Danio rerio: one gene and its partners. The protein of the gene in region 2 interacts with the protein of the main gene of each other region in a pairwise test. Links are inferred from orthologs where the notes say so. Each region holds a gene or a part of one and is shown on either strand. Other genes may lie near its edges. The genes, in order: ift20, exoc7, kxd1 and prpf19.

The links.
Region 1: the proteins of exoc7 (region 2) and ift20 interact in binary tests that used the Homo sapiens proteins (3 or more experiments, as listed by UniProt). The two-hybrid records come from large-scale screens. The link is inferred for Danio rerio from reciprocal best matches to the Homo sapiens genes EXOC7 and IFT20.
Region 3: the proteins of exoc7 (region 2) and kxd1 interact in binary tests that used the Homo sapiens proteins (3 or more experiments, as listed by UniProt). The two-hybrid records come from large-scale screens. The link is inferred for Danio rerio from reciprocal best matches to the Homo sapiens genes EXOC7 and KXD1.
Region 4: the proteins of exoc7 (region 2) and prpf19 interact in a two-hybrid assay, tested with the Homo sapiens proteins (2 studies listed by BioGRID and IntAct, with this or other methods). The link is inferred for Danio rerio from reciprocal best matches to the Homo sapiens genes EXOC7 and PRPF19.

The regions. Positions count from the first base shown.
Region 1 is NC_133190.1:26,254,565-26,258,281, reverse strand, and holds the end of ift20 (intraflagellar transport protein 20 homolog), read right to left. Parts: intron 3,087-3,717; exon of another isoform or gene 3,083-3,086; 5' UTR 3,043-3,082; coding exon 2,916-3,042; intron 2,806-2,915; coding exon 2,720-2,805; intron 2,651-2,719; coding exon 2,547-2,650; intron 1,748-2,546; coding exon 1,666-1,747; 3' UTR 1,059-1,665; downstream 1-1,058. Other genes in the region: tmem97 (sigma intracellular receptor 2), read left to right, coding at 611-885. UniProt on the Homo sapiens protein: Part of intraflagellar transport (IFT) particles involved in ciliary process assembly. May play a role in the trafficking of ciliary membrane proteins from the Golgi complex to the cilium.
Region 2 is NC_133187.1:48,883,099-48,887,461, forward strand, and holds part of exoc7 (exocyst complex component 7), read left to right. Parts: intron 1-905; coding exon 906-1,157; intron 1,158-3,316; coding exon 3,317-3,379; intron 3,380-3,472; coding exon 3,473-3,539; intron 3,540-4,363. UniProt on the Homo sapiens protein: Component of the exocyst complex involved in the docking of exocytic vesicles with fusion sites on the plasma membrane.
Region 3 is NC_133200.1:21,951,643-21,956,549, reverse strand, and holds the start of kxd1 (kxDL motif-containing protein 1), read right to left. Parts: upstream 3,354-4,907; 5' UTR 3,098-3,353; coding exon of another isoform or gene 3,003-3,097; 5' UTR 2,351-3,002; intron 1,935-2,350; coding exon of another isoform or gene 1,907-1,934; coding exon 1,782-1,906; intron 1-1,781.
Region 4 is NC_133189.1:18,665,003-18,669,365, reverse strand, and holds part of prpf19 (pre-mRNA-processing factor 19), read right to left. Parts: intron 3,513-4,363; coding exon 3,371-3,512; intron 3,293-3,370; coding exon 3,219-3,292; intron 1,603-3,218; coding exon 1,537-1,602; intron 1,451-1,536; coding exon 1,409-1,450; intron 1,325-1,408; coding exon 1,250-1,324; intron 1-1,249. UniProt on the Homo sapiens protein: Ubiquitin-protein ligase which is a core component of several complexes mainly involved pre-mRNA splicing and DNA repair. Required for pre-mRNA splicing as component of the spliceosome.

The DNA of each region.
Region 1 (3,717 bases), on a different chromosome or scaffold from region 2:
TTCAGAAGCCATCGTGAGGGCCAACAACAGATAATTTTAGATTTTTTAAATTGAAAGAATCAAGTGCACCCAGTCTTAGAAGACTGAGTCAATTTAAGTCGTTTTGTAGCTCTTGAAATTGACATTTTCCTGCCTTAGTTAACAGGTAAAACTTGGTGACTGCATAAGCAACATGAAAAAAAATAAAATGGCACTAAAAAAAAAGATTAACCATTAACAACTTGGTTAAAATATTATGGCATAGAAAAAATAAAATGTTTTGACAAATGGAAACTAAACTTAAGCAAACAAGTTAATTATATTTAATGAACATGTCATTTATTCAAGGTCATTTATAACTTTAATAGTGCAGTGAAAACTTTTATTAATATCATTTGTCTATATGTTTCCCTTTTTTTTCTTTTTGCATTTTTAATTCACTAAGATCTAGCTGTTGATTGGGAAGTGACCTAAAGATAAAGAGGAGATGCTACTGTCTATAATTAAGTTGGTATTGGGATGGGTTCTAATAAACATGATATTGGTTTAGATGCAGTGAAAGTAATCCATTGTCTTCTACTAGCTAAGGTCATATTATTCCAGCTAATTATTGTGCTCGTCTGTTTAATAGGTGGCTGCAAATGGATCAGAACTCCAGCCATAATTTATTCTGTTCATGTGGCCACCACTCTGGTCCCAATTTTAAGCCACATACTTTTCCACAAGTTTCCTTTGAGTCCACATCCGGGACCCCAAACTTTGAATGAACGTCTGACCCTGGTGTCCATTTATGCTCCGTACCTCATCATTCCCATTATGATACTGCTCACCATGCTCTTCAGCGCAACTTACAACTCACCATCTCTGAAAGGAAATGCTCCCTCAAAGGCCAAGAAACAAAGATAAATGCCAGTTCATCTTTCTACACCCTAAATTAGAGCACAGTATGTATTGATCAAATCCCAACAGGGTTGTTAGTAGTCATTATTTGATAAACGTGATTTAATATGTGCCAAATTTCTCAATTATATGTGACCATTTTTTAAGCTCTAGAAATTGTTTACCGATGACAGCAGATGTAAATGCAAAATATATTTTTATTCAAATGTTCTTCAGATCTTTATGAGCTTTGCCCAATGTTGAGATTACACATGGTAAATGTAAACAAGTAATAAATGAACTTACTTTTCCATAACTTCTACTGAAATTATTTTGGTTTGGTCCCAATAAAAATATCATGAGGATATGATATAATAAAAACGACATGGGTTCAAGTCTCAAACAGGAGTTGTAATCATACAGAAAACAATAGATTTACCTGAAGATGTCACATGATGGAATTATTTACAGTAACATGCAAATACTGTATTTCCCTATTGTAAAAAAAAAGATCAGATTTACAAACTAATTTTCATATAAATAGTATAAATAACATTTGTATATAAATAGTTTCATCTGAGATTATGATCTATGGTTGGAAAGATTACAAGGATGTGCCTCCAGGAACTGGCCATGCAAAAGCACTCAATGCTGTGAGGTTGAGGCTGAAACAGACGTCTGTTGTCTGCCATAACTGCTCAATTCAGTTCATCTAGTTTGAGACCTTGCACTTATTAGGAAGTCAATGTGAATCAAGATGCATAGCATCATTTTTCCTGTCCAGCAGAGAGAGGAAACACAGTGCTCTTATTTCTGCAGTATAAACTGATCAATGAATTCACTCTGCTCAGCTTCCACTTTCTGAAGAGCTTCATATTCTATTCGATACCTGCAAAACAAAAAGACTTTTTAGTCTTGAAGAGAAATTCAGAGCATAAACACAATGCTGTTCACTACTTGAAGTGGCTGTATGCAACATTCAGAAACCCTTGTCATAAGCAATATTGGTGGCCTAAAATGAACGGCATACAGTTCTGGGCAGATTACTTTGAAACTGTAGTCAATTGCTGATTACTGATGATCATGAAGAACTGTGGTTCATTTTAGGTAATGGTTTATGTATTTCAACTACTTTTAGATTACGAACTTTTCACTTACCAACTGATGTAACCACATGTTTATTTTGCTAGCACGCTGAAATTAATCTGTGCTCTGAATTAGTCAATTCAGTGAAAAAGATGTTCAGTGTTTTGATATTCGTTAATTAAATTCTGACCACTTACTATCTACACCTCTGATTACACAAGTTTGGGTGATATATGCTTAACCACGCCCCTCCAACAGTTACTTTGCTGTGAGTGAAAGATAAAAGGAGGAGTCCAAAATGTATGTATGTATGTAAGTATGTTTCATTATTTTAAAATGTTATATACTTCAATTCCAAGTTACAACCTAACTTTCAGAATCTGATTACGTAATGCAGATAACATGTATTTAGTTGCTAACTAGCACTGTGCACATGCCAATGCAAATGCTGTAATAGATTTATGGTGATGCTCTTTCTTTTGTTCTCTTTTAGAAGTAACAAGTTGGAAATTACCATGCAGTAACTGAAAAATGACTGAAAAATAGAACTGAAGAAAAATATCAGACCATAATGATGTATTATGATGTATTATCATATTTACCTTTCCAGTTGCATTTTCTTCTCTGCAATCAGAGCCTGAAGCTGTTGCTGCTGGGCTTCCCGTTGCTTTTCAACCGATTTCAGCAAATTTCTTGCCCCTATGGCCTGAAGGTGAACCATATATAAATACAAAACGCAAATATGCACTGCTAATAGTTTAAAACAACAACGTACCTTCATTTTTTCAGTTTCGGCTTCCTTCGCAAGTTCATCCACAAGTTCAATAAGTCCACCTACAATTTTCTGAAACTGTCCGATCTCTGTTTTCAAAAGCAAAAGGAGAAGTTATTGATCTGGACTGCAAAAAGCAAAGAAATTCAGTTAAGAGAGATAAACTTCACAATGAGATTAAAAAATAAAAAACACTTACTGTCGACAAACTCCTCACATTCCTCTTTGAGCTCAGTTGTTTTCTGGCTCACATCAGGCTCAAGTACTCGCAGTTTGTTGAGCTCATCAAAATGAAGACCAGCCTCTGCTAACGGGTCTTTAGCCATGACCAGAGGACCGTAACCTGCCTGTGTGACTCAATAATGGCTGATAATTATACAGAAACAGAAGTATGTTAAAAGAAAAATATGCATAATTTTATTGTATTCAATACTGACAAATACAGTGTTGATTTTGCAAAGTAAAATGTCTAGACGTGCCAGTATTCAATAATATATCACAACGATAATGAACATACATGCTTTATCACTTTAAAATAAGTAATAATTACTTATTGTTATTGAACTTTCAGAATGCATTTTAAGAATATTCAGTTTGCTGCTTTTGCAATGATGTTCTAAAAAACTTTTTCGCGTTAATCTGATGTACAACATGGCTAAAATGTCATTTAATTAGTTTGAAACGATGTTTTGCTCTGAACATTTATATACCAGCAGGGCCGGAGTGGGACTGCTTTTTAGCCCTGGAGTTTCAAGCCTTAGACCGGCCCACCTCAGTTCACGACTGACTATATTAAAATAACGTCATTTCTAATTTAGTTTCTAATGACAATATACAATCTTTTTCAAGGACACAGCTGCTTTAGAAGTTCAAATGTTTTTCATAAATATGAGAAGATTAAAGGGATAGCTAAATCTCCAACACTATTCTTTACAACGTCCTTTCCTGCAATATCCGAATATATATTCTGTGCAAAATTCTTTATAGATATCCAGTCCTTT
Region 2 (4,363 bases):
GGAGACTGCCGTCAAACTGAAAGCAAAAGTAAAATATGTTTGGGTCCGGTCCTCTCTCGGCTTCCTCTGCCCTTGTTCCTCCTTTTATGATCCAGAGCTCCTTCCGTGGGATCTGAGGCAGGTGCGCACCGCAGGTGGATCCACTTACGCGGTGGCCTCACTCCGTTCCCACGGCGCTCGGCCACGCCCCCTCGCCACAAAAGCCTTCAAGTTCAGGGCTTAAACCCAAAAGACAACGATATGATGATCAGTATTTGAGTTTAGGATTTACGTGGACAGGACCAGCTGAGGAACCACGACCTTTATGTGTGGTTTGTCAAAATATTTTGGCAATGACAGCATGAGACCCGCTAAACTTCCACTGTTTTGACTGGGACGGACAGTTCTTGGAACTGTTCTATTCATATTGAACCATCATCCTAGTTTTAAAAACGTTATATTAAAATGCTTGTTATTACTCTGTAAATAATTGCACTTTCATGCAAATGATGATAAAAGTGAGTTAACAGTCTGACATCTGTCTGTGTCTTTATATATATATATGCGTGCGTGCGTGTTTGGGAGGAGGGGGGCGCCAATGGATAAGTTGTGTCAAAAGGGAGGCCCACTGTCTTAGACTTTGAAAAACCCTGCAGTAATTTAATACACTTGGGGCAAATATGTGGTTGACATTTTTCCTTAGATTACCATACTGTGCTACAGAATACTAAAACAAAAATCATCTGGTATATCATAGCATGTATATGTATGCAAATATCTAATTTGCTTACATATTATTTAAATGTATAATTTTAAATGTAAAAAAATGTGTAATTACACCCAGAAAGTGCTTAAAAAGTGCTTAAATGTGACCATTCGTGAGTGGACCTGCATGTGTGTTGACTCCCAGCGTTGTGTGTTTGCAGGAAGCGCTGGATAATTTAATGCTGGAAGGTGATAATATCGTGTCTGCTGCGCGTCGAGCCATCATGAGACACGATTACTCCGCCGTTCTGACCATCTTCCCCATCTTACGGCATCTCAAACAGACCAAACCAGACTTCGATGCCACACTGCAGGGAACAGCGGCGAGCACCAAAAACAAGCTGCCGGCGCTCATCACCTCTATGGAGACTATTGGAGCGAAAGCACTGGAAGAGTTTGCTGACAGCATTAAGGTTCATTTTACATCTATATTTTTATATTTAATTGTATTTATGTTGTTTGTTAGTAAAATATTTATATTTGTGAATCTTTAATTAATCATTTGTAGTTAAATAAATATTCAAAATGTTTTATTTTGTTTAAATTATTAAAAACAATAATATGTATTATTATTATTAATCATTTAATTCTTCATTATTAATTATTTAAAACAGTTATTTTTACTTATTTTAAAATGTATATTAATATAATACAATAAATAATATAATTTTTGTCTAAGTAGTTTGTTGTTAGTGCTTATATTAATGTTATTATTGTTATTTTGTATTTACTTTCTCCAACATTTTTATTTATTATAAAATTATTACTCATGTATTTTAATAATATTCTGAATAATAATATTTAAAATAATTCTTCATTATTGTGTATTTATAACAATTATTGTTTTTTGTTAATTAATTATTGTTTATTATTTTATTTTACTTATTTAAAAAATGCATATTAATATAATACAACAAATAATATAGTTAATGTATTTTGATAGTCTCTTATTAGTAAATATATTATTATTAATATGTTGTATTTGTTTTCTTTAATAATACTATTTATCATATTATTTTAAATAATGCATTTTAATAATAATTAGAATAATAATATTAAGAATAATACTTAATTATTGTGTATTTAAAACCATTATTATTAATAATTTAATAGTGCATATCAATATAATACAACAAATAATATAATAATTGTATTTAAGTAGTCTGTTATTAGTATTTATATTCATATTAATAATATTTTGTTATATTGTATTTATTTTCTTTAATAATACTATTTATTATGTTGTTGATACATTTAATAATGTTTAAAATAATATTAATAATAATAATTATTATTATTTAATATTTTAATTAAATAAAAATTTAATGCAATAGAATGAATGTAATAATAATTTAAGAATTTATTATTTAATTTTTCTTTTATTATTTAAAAATATATATATTATCTATTCAAGTATATTGTTCATCCATGTGTGTAAAAATATGTATTATAAAAGATTAAAATCAAGATTAAGATCAAAATATAGTCATTTTGTTAAATTAAACAGTTTTGGCCCCTTCCTAAAATGAAATATCACTTGCCCCCTTCTGATCTTCAACCTTTAGTATCAAATTTTAATTTTCATTAATTTGTTCATTTGCTTTTCGGCTTAGTCTCTTTATTATTCAGAGGCCGCCAACTTATCCAGCATATGTTTTATGCAGCGGATGGCCTTCCATCTGCAACCCATCACTGTAAAACACCAATACACTATCATTCACACACATACACTACAGAGAATTTAGGTTACCCAACTCACCTATAGCGCATGTTTCTGGACTGTGGGGAAAACAGGAACACCCTGAGGAAACCCACACCACACACAGGGAGAACATGCAAACTCCACACAGAAATGCCAACTGACCCAGCCGAGGCTCAAACCAGCGACCTTCTTGCTACCCCCCCCCCATCCCCCCCCCATATATTAATTTATAATTTTATATAGGTTTATAAGTCTAATTATATACTTTCATAATGACAATAATTATTCCATATACAGTTGAAGTCAGAATTATAAGCCCCCCTGAATTATTAGCTTCCCTGTTTATTTTTTCCCCAATTTCTGTTTAACAGAGAAATGATTTCTTCAACACATTTCTAATCATAATAATTTTAATAACTCATTTCTAATAATTGAGTTATTTTATCTTTGTCATGATGACAGTAAATAATATTAGACTAGATATTCTTCAAGACACTTCTATACAGCTTAAAGTGACACTTAAAGGCTTAACTAGGGTAATTAGGGTAACTAGGCAGGTTAGAGTAATTAGGCAAGTTATTGTATAACGATGGTTTATTCTGTAGACTACTGGATAAAAAATTTGTTTAAAGGGGCTAATAATTTTGTCCTAAAAATGGTGTTTAAAAAATTAAAAACTGCTTTTATTCTAGCTGAAATAAAACAAATAAGACTTTCTCTAGAAGAAAAAATATTATCAGACATACTGTGAACATTTCCTTGCTCTGTTCAACATCATTTGGGAAATATTTAAAAAAGAAAATAAAATTCAAAGGCGTTCTAATAATTCTGACTTTAACTGTATATTGATTATGTTTTTCTCTCCGACAGAATGATCCGGATAAAGAGTACAACATGCCGAAAGATGGAACTGTGCATGAGCTGACCAGCAATGTAAGATCTCTTCATTGTCCATTTCATGCAGTAAACGTACTCAAAGTGGTGTTTTATTATAAATAAATGTCTTCTCCTAATGTATTTTGTCAGGCAATCCTGTTTCTGCAGCAGCTGCTGGATTTCCAGGAAACAGCAGGAGCGATGCTGGCGTCTCAGGGTAAAACACAGACTACAGAAAAACAGACATTACATACAGTTGAAGTCACAATTATTAGCCCTCCTGTATGTTTTGTCCCCAATTTCTGTTTAACGAAAAGCAGATTTTTAAAACACATTTCTAATCATACTAATTTTAATAACTCATCTCTAATAACTGATTTATTTGATCTTTGCCATGATGACAGTAAATAATATTAGACTAGATATTCTTCAAGACACTTCTATACAGCTTAAAGAGACATTTAAAGGATTCACTGGGTTAATTAGGGTAAAATTAGGGTAATTAGCCAAGTCATTGTATAACAGGGGTTTACTCTCTAAACCAGCCCTGCTGAAAAATCTAGGTTAAACCAGCCTAGTCTGGTTGGCTGGTTTTAGCTGGTCGACCAGGCTGGTTTTAGAGGGGTTTTGGCCACTTCCAGGCTGGTTTCCAGCCATTTCCAGCCTGGTCTTAGCTGGTCAGGCAAACCAGCTTGACCAGCCTAGCCAAGCTGGGAGTCCAGCCAAAACCAGCTATGTCCAGCTTAAACCAAGCTGGTTTTAGCTGGATTTGGCTGGTAATTTTCCAGCCTGACCAACTAAGACCAGGCTGGAAATGGCTGGAAACCAGCCTGGTAATGGCCAAAATCCCTCTAAAACCAGCCTGGTCGACCAGCTAAAACCAGCCAACCAGCCTAGGCTGGTTTAAGCAAGATTTTTCAGCAGAGAGGGGTGGCCAATCCTGTTCCTGGAGATCTACCTTCCTGCAGATTTCAGTTGCAACCCTTATCAAACACACCTGTCTATAATTATCAAGCGGATTTCGGGTCCTAATTAATTGGT
Region 3 (4,907 bases), on a different chromosome or scaffold from region 2:
AAACATTTCTGAATGATTTCTGAAAAATTTGAATACTATTTTTTTTTAAGTATACCATAAAATATTTTAGATTCTCATTTAACATGTTTTCTTGTTTGTTTTTTTGCAATCAAACCAAAATCAAGTGTAGTAGTGTGAACCATTATTTAAAACAGTCATTTCTTGAATGACTTTAACAGTCATTGTTTAAAATCAGTAAATATATGGTCAACCATTTGGATGAGCAGGCAGTTAAATGGTTAATAGGGGAGGGCAGAGCACAAAGTAACGTGGAGTAAAATAGAAAACAAGGTATTTGCGCAGGGTTAACCATGCCATGCTTCCGAAGTTTTCACCACAGTGTCGGTCGGCAAATGTCTTCCTGCCAATTATTGAAAACTTTCAGGGAAATTTTAATGAGAAATACAGGAGAAACCGTTTTTGCAGCATAAAAGTTTTTTTTTTTTTTTTTTAGTTGGTATTTTTTATTTAAAAAAAAAATCTGTGTAAGTATGCAAGTAAAATCTTATATTGCTGTGATTACCTTCTTCTAGGCTGAAAGATGGAACCATTTTGAAAGATGTAAAAAAAAAAACTGTGACTGATAATATATATATATTTTTTTTTTTTTGAGTGTAATGTTCAGAACTTTTTATACAAAATGTTTTATAAAAGAAAATATTTTTTAATAGAAAAAAATTTATTTTATAGCTAATACTGCAAATAAGTGCATTGTATAATAATGTACAATAATGAAATAAATCCAAATGTCTTTATCCAACAGATAAATAAATAAACATATTGTGCTATGTTGAATAAAAATAAACTGAGCAATGTACTGAGGAAATATAGCTACTATTTAAATAAACTGATTTTAAATAAATTGTGTGAGAGCTGACTTTATAAGCATGTGTTACAACTAACCCTCTGTCTGTTACAACTTGCCCCACATGTGGGGTAAATAGTAACATTTTTACTCCCTGCACTTTTGGCAATAATACACAGAAACCATAGGTCTGAAAATCATACAACCATTGCTCATTGGTAGGAGAGGCTTGTGTGTTGTTGGTAAAAATAAATGGTTCAGGGTTCAGACACATTTTTACTACTAAAATTCCATGACTTTTGCATGATTTTTCCAAAACTTTTAAGTAAATTTTTATGACCTTAATGTTTCATGCAATGTCTACATATGCATGGTAAAAGAAAAACAATGCAGGTTCAAATTGATTACAGCATATCGTAAAACAAGCAACAACCTATTAAGTTTTAATTTATATTTACATCTATGTAAAATTGATTCAGATAATGCTTACATCACACTAATATTGTGAGAATGTGACTGGCAAAGGACAGAAAAGCAGTAAATAACCTATATTCAAGTATAAAGATTTCTGTTTTCCATGATTTTTCCAAAACTTTGTGGGTTTTTCTCTTTTTCCCAAACTTTCCCAAGCCTTGAAAAAGGCATGTCAAAATACTACGACTTTTCCAGGTTTTCCTTGACCGTATGAATTCAGATGGTTTGTCTAACTCCATTACTTTGTTCATTATTTGGCCAAAACCAAAAAGTGTTACTTTGTGCCCCGCTCTCCCCTATACACAGGTGAAAACTAGAGTACATTTTCTATTTACACTTAAATAATGTACTGACTTACAATGTAATATTACTCAACTAATTTGTTGAGTTTAATTTGTGAAAAGTTACTTTAATGGCATTTTAAATGACAAAATAGTAAAATATGGTAACACACTCATTGCTAAACATCACTCAATTCAATCTTAATTTGCAAACATAACACCTTATTCTTCTGAAGATGCTGTCCAAGTCTTTCTTCATCTCTATCAAAGTCCTGGTGTGCATCAGAAAGTGTTCATTCATCTGCTGTAAGCGCACATTGGACAAGCCGTTGAAGTTGATCAGCATCTCATTGGTTTTCTCAAAGCGGTCCAGCCTGTAGGACATGCATCAAAACAGGTTTTAAACAGCTTCCTTTTTAGGTACTTTACTAGAATTTAGGTACGTTAAAGTTGGTTTTAAATTCAACTTGTGACATTCTTCCTATATTTTGAGGTGAAGTTGGTTTTATATTCACACATTCAGACTTTCTCTTTAATAATATAATTTCAGAAACTTACTCTTTGCGAATACTAAATAGTGGAAACATATTAGCAGTCAATGAGCATCAGACTAGGTTGTTTATAGTCAAATAAATAGTGGTTATGTTGTTTTGAAGTCATTCTTACACAGGATTTCAGACCCAATGTTTTACCAGTACCATGGTAAACAATATAGGGACCATATCACAAGTGATCACTGAAAGAATGTTCAAATATAAAACCAACTTTACCTCAATTTCCTTATGTTTACCGTGGTAATTTGAATAATCGAAATCAGGGCGAGGCAGTGGTGCAATAGGTAGTGCTGTTGCCTCACAGCAAGAAGGTCTCTGGGTCGCTGGTTCGAACCTCGGCTCAGTTGGCATTTCTGTGTGGAGTTTGTATGTTCTCCCTGCCTTCGTGTGGGTTTCCTCCGGATGCTCCGGTTTCCCCCACAGTCCAAAGACATGCGGTACAGGTGAATAGGGTAGGCTAAATTGTCCGTAGTGTACGAGTGTGTAAATGTGTGTGTGGATGTTTCCCAAAGATGGGTTGTGGCTGGAAGGGCATCCGCTGCGTAAAAACTTGCTGGATAAGTTGGCGGTTCATTCCGCTATGGTGACCCCGGATTAATAAAGGGACTAAGCCGACAAGAAAATGAATTATATGAAATCACAAAGACTATAGAATACATAGAATACAATATGCCTTACAGGGACTTTGGTGTGACTTGAAAACAACATTAGCACTATTTATTTGACTGTGAACAATGTTGCATTTTGATAGTCATTGGCTGCTAATATGATTCCACTGTTAAGAATTTGAAAACGACACTTTTCTGAAGTTATACTGTTAAGGAGAAAGTCTGGATGTGTGAATATAATCCGAATTTTACCTCAATTTCACTAGACAGGGATACTCACATATGTCTCTGGGCTTGAATGATGGCGTTCACATCCTCAGAGTTCACCATACTGAGCATCCTGTTACAGAATATTCCCGAAGCTGTGGGCTCCATTTGAACTTTTTCGAGAGCAAAGCACGAGATTTATTGAGTTATGCTAATAATAAACCGATACAGACGAGTGTAATCGCTTACGTGCTAAAATATTCGCTTTCTGACTAGTTTTCGTCTGACTTTGTTTGTTTCTAAAGCGTCGCAGTCTGATGCAGGAGGTTTTGCATGTATGCAGACTTTTATTGTATTCCTAAAACGATCAAACATTTACTGGACTGAGATGCAGGCAGACATTTTTGTTGTGGTGTTGTCATATGATCGCTGAGAGATCGTGACGCATTTGGGAGGCGGCATCTAGAAGGTTTTCTTAGCGTTGATTGGATGTTCAGAAAGACAGAAAGAGGGGTTTAAAAGGGCTTTAAAATGAAATGTAGATTTATAATGCGCTTTCTGTGATGATAAAGAAGAGAGTATTGCTCATTTATGTTATGGTTGTATTTATACACAGTTGTTTTGGTGTTATCTTTTTTTTTTTTTTGGTAAACGTTATGAATATTGCTTTTCAATTCAAAGAAAAAGATTATTTATTCTTTATATGAGAATACTGTCTACTTTATAATGTGGTGTTTTGTAATTTGCTAATTATATATGGAAATATTTTTATTCATAAATGTACATGTGCAGTGGAAAAACCTAATTTTACTCACTTAAAAATAGAAATAGGACAAGGACAATAAAAGAAACAAAAAATACCAAACAAAAAGAACTGTTATTATTATACTATTATTATCTTAAAGCCTTAAATGCTGTCTTTGAATAATTGTATTTTTTTATTTTTGTTTTATGTTGTATTTATTTTTATGTAAACATAATGTTTTTATTCCCTTTGTATGTTCTGTGTTCTAAAATTGCAATAAAAAAATAAATAAATAAAAAGGGCTTTAAAATATTGTTTTAATTTGTTTTAACATACAATATAAAATAAGAATACAGTATCCCAAAATGACTTCAGTACTATATGCACCACATGAGATGGATATTATGAATATATATATATATATATATATATATATATATATATATATATATATATATATATATATATATATATATATATATATATATATATATATATATTAGGCCTGTATTTTATATTTCGGTAAATATTAGTTTCTATTTATAAATATAAATGTTATTATGAATAGTGGAAGTAATTTATTCAGTTTATTTAAGCATTTTCTAAACCTATTAATATAAATGGCGTTATATGTAAACTGTATTATTACATTTTTAAGAAATACTTTTTTATTAATTGATTTTAATACATTTTAATTATGTAAAAATATACATTTGCATAATTAACTTATTTGTATTAATAGTATATATTGTTTGAAGATTGCTTATTATATTATTCGATTTCAGTTTATTATACACAATGTAAAAATGATATGACAAAAGTCAACAATATTTTGTTACTTTAACTTATTTAAATAAGTTAATAAAGCTGTATGGCATTGATTTCTGAAGTGTATAATGTTTGGCATTACAGAATTATTTCTAAATGGATCTTGTCACTGAACACTACCATTATACATAATGTACAGTTGAAGTCAGAATTATTAGCCCCCTTGATTTATTAGACCCCCCTGTTTATTTTTTCCCCTCAATTTCTGTTTAACAGAGAGAAGATTTGTTCAACACATTTCTAAACATAATAATTTTAATAACTCATTTCTAATAACTGATTTATTTTATCTTTGCCATGATGACAGTAAATAATATTTCACTAGATATTTTTTAATACACTTCTATGCAGCTTACAGTGACATTTAAAGGCTTAACTATGTTAATAATGTTAAGTAGGTTAGGA
Region 4 (4,363 bases), on a different chromosome or scaffold from region 2:
CAAAGGGGGGAAAAGTTTTAGTTTTTTACCCAGATATTAAAAAAATACAATTTAGAGGAGTAATCATAATACTGTGAAGGTTATCATACCATCAGAATCTTATACCAGCCCAAGCCTAAGACAGAAACTCCATTTGTCAAACTTTGAGGTGGAAATTGTTGATTTTTATCTTAATTTCTAAACAGAGAATAATTTTTTTTTAAAAGTTTAAATTCAACAGAGTTTAAAGTTAGCATGCTTCTCAGCTAACAATATGACATGGTAATAACTATAAAAGTGTGTATTAGTTTTATTAAGATTTTACAATTAAGATTAAGATATAAGTCGATATTTACACAATGTGATTCAGACGTCATTTTCTTCCCAATAGCTGTGCCTTCAAAGATGCTGTCACAGAATTTGATCAAAACAGGATTTCTAGAACAATTTTATGCTTACTTGGCAATTTTTTTTTACCAGGACATATGGAAAGAGAGAATTTTGAATTTATTGCCATATCAGCTTTTATGGCTATATCATGGCAAAAAAAGATCAGGTTTACCACATTTTAAAAAATAATACTTTTCTATAATTATAAAAATATTCTAACAATTAAAAGTCATCGAAAGCAATAAATACAGAAGATAAAAATACAAAGTAATAATGAGAATACATAAGATAAAAATCTAAAACTTTTTTTTAAGGATTTAGTTTTGATGAAAATTTAACAATTTTAAAATTAAATACTACATTTCAAGTCCCTCCAGACAATAATTGTTGTCGGATAACAATAAAAATAGGGCATTGCACAAGAATATTTTTAACAGCTTGGTTTCTGTTGCAATATAGACATTTTAGGGGTTTTTCTCCTTTAGCAAGTGTTCAGTGCGAGTTTTTTTGTGTCCGGAACGTCATCTTCTGCATACAATCTCATCATTTCTTGAGTTTTAAAAAAAAAATTGGATTTTGATCCTATTTCAGGCTGGATTTCATAGTTTATTTTTTGAGCACTAATCCTACCATAATGGTATAAAATCAGCTTAAATAAACATAATGGATTTTTTTAATGAGCCTAATATATTGACCTCTGAAAAAAACTAAACCTTTTTTAACAATAAATGTACCAAATGTAGCACTTTTTAGAAGCGGTTTTCTTATGATATAGAAAAAAAACATCCAGCTTATATAACCTTTGTGGACATCAGGCCTACACAACATATGTTAAACAAAAATATGCACGCATACACACTGTGTAAAATTGGATACTCACAGCATGGGATCCCACTTGGCGATACTTGCTGAGATCTTCTGCTCTGACCAGCTCTTCTGGCACGGTCTTTCCTCTCTGAAAAACAAACACGTAAAAGGTTACAGACATTGAAAAGCACATCAAATAACAGTGACCACAAACTGCTAATTAAACGTTTACCTTCTTTCTCTCGGTGGTCAGAACAGTGGCCTTGTCTTGAAGCTGTAATGTAAGAAAAAGTCTTTGAATCCCTTTGTACATGTGTGAGCAATGAGAACACTGCTGAATATACTTGTGGATTCACAAACCTTCTGTATGATCTCCGGAGTCATTCCAACCTGTTCACTGACCTCCATGGCCTCACCACCAGCACCCTATGAAAACAGAAAATTATATATTTAACTCCATTGTACTATGGCTATGAGGGGGTTGAATTATTTTACATTTAAAATTGAACATAAAACCATAAAATAAATAAATATCGGATTCACAATTCATCTCAGAATTAATTCTCAACTTTTGAAATAAATTCCTGCATTATATGAAATAACTTTTTTTTCCTGCATCTTTCATTTTGAAAGAGATTATAATCTAAAAGTATTTTTTTTTCAGAATCTTGAGAAATTTTTTTTTAATATATATATTAGAGGTTGCACTGACTAGTCGACTAATCAACTAGTTGACTTTAATGCTCTGCCGTGATGCTTTTTGATAAACTTCGACTAGTCTCACTGTGCAGATCACGTTGTTTGACCAGAACTACATGCAGCTTTACACACTAAGGTGGAACCACGAGTGCACGGATGTTGTCACTGAATGAAACTGCCCTCCGATTATTTAAAATACATTTTTTTAACTGTATTTTTTATGTCAGCGTCAAAGATTCACGTGAACTTGTATTGAACTTTAAATCGGTGCCAGTTAGGTTTAAGCAACCCTGAAAAGTAATGTGATTGTCTGCTGCCCTCTACAAACCTGTGAAAAAATGTGAAGTGCACAGCCGCAAAGGTGTGATAAACTTCACAGCTTGTGTAGGTGTAAACATCATCAACATTGGTGAACCTGGTGAAGATGTACAGCAAGCAGACTTCTGTAACTAAAATGAGCCAGTGACCACAAAAAACGCCTGACTTAAGCAGGATTTTGAGCAGCTTTCTAGTGCGCATGATCATAGCGATAAAATATAAAATACATTAAATATAATGTAATATTTATAAAATATGAGTCTGATTAGGACTCCGACAGTGTAATATGGCTTAATGTTATAGCCTGTCCTTTCTGCGTTATGTATAACGTCACATGAATCTGTGTGCTGCATTATTTCTGCACAAAAATATCTGTTATTGTTACATTCTTACTAGAATGTGCAGTGATCAATGTGTTAACTGCATTTATTTCGCAGTAAAATTTAGTCCGGGTGCTAATGTTACATTAATAACGAAAGAGTCGACAGTGTATTTGTTTTGCACTAAAATGGTGTCATTGGTGTAATGTTGCATTGTTCTTGCAACGCGTTATGAGCGTTCCAACAGCATGGAAACATATTCTGTCCTGCAAATAAATCGCAAATTGTGGCATGTTGCAAAACATTTGCATCTTATGTTTTTTTTTGATGACGCTAAAAGCTACTAGTTGACTCAACTTTGATAATATAAAAGTCGACTTTCAAAAATCTAAAATCGTCAACCTCTTTTTTACATTTAATGAAATTCAATAAAAATGGTAAGGCAGTTACCAAAAACATTTAAACACTTTATAAATATCACATTTCTAAAATAATAAAAAAGCAAAAAAATAACAATCTAAAACCGTTTTTTAAGGTTTACTCTTGCTACAAAATTTTACCTTAAAAATTATTATAATTGCTGTCTAATAACATTAAAAATAGTGGCCATTTCTATTTGAAAAACCTCAAAGTACCTATGGTTCATGAGTGAATTAAGATTTTTTTTTTCACGCTACATTATGAATATCTAAAGAAATTACTGACCACAGCAGCGGGCTGAGAAGCAGGAGCGGCCTGTGGAGCGACCAGTCCAGCCTGGGGTTTGAGGGTAGCCAAAGCTGCAAGCAGAACAATGTGTCAGTGATGGCACAATTCCAGTCAACATCTCATCCTGAAAGCAATCATGCCACTCTTACCTTCTCTGGCAGCAGTGACCTCTTTTGTAAGACGAGCAATGACTCTGCAGGCTGCATCATGCTGGTAGAGAGCATGAGAAAGCTCTTGTCGTGTTGTCTGCAACTGCTGCCTCAGTGTAAAACTGTGCAGCATCACGGCGTCCTGAAAGAGAGAGAGAGAGAAAAAAACTGTGTTAATCTAAAATATAATCATTCTTTTATAACAATCACCAAATATTAAATGGAAAAGTTTTTCATACGTTGAATGATGCATGTATAATTGCACATATTGCACACAGAATAAGCAGGCTTTGTTGAATTATTTCATAAATAACTGGACGTATCATTCTAAAATCCCAGTGAAGTGGTACAGGATTATTTTGTTTCTCCAGTCTATGGTACAGACTCTGCCAGATGGTTTGTTTTGGGAACAGGTAGGCATTTTTACTGCTTGTAGATTTTGATGCACGAAGATATATCATATAAGTATCTAAAAGTGCAAGGGAGATTCTTTGCATTTGTAGTGCGCACGCCAAAAGATCAAATTCATGTTAAACTTTTGACTAAAATGTATATACACTCGATCAATTTAACATTTATATAAACAATATCTTCAGATAAGGTACATGATTGTATCAAATCCTGATGTTACATCTGAATGTGTCATTTTTACATCATCCCAAAAGGCAATTAGGCCTAAAATCAATATCTCGATTTGATTCAACATTTTAACTTGGTTGCGATTAATGAACAATTATTTTATTTATAAAAATTTTTGGTCCCCAAAAACATTCACTGACAAGTTTTTTATAGTAAATATGCTCACATTTTACAAGTGAGAGATTTCTGAACAAAGGGTGCATAACTTGATTTTAAAAGAATTGAAGTAAACTCTCACTATCTACTATCTCTGATTATTTTTATTGAACATCAACGTTGAACAACTGAAATTAAAACACACATTGCCTAAAATCAACAGTCACCTTTTTCTTATAAAAAAGTGAAAATAAATAA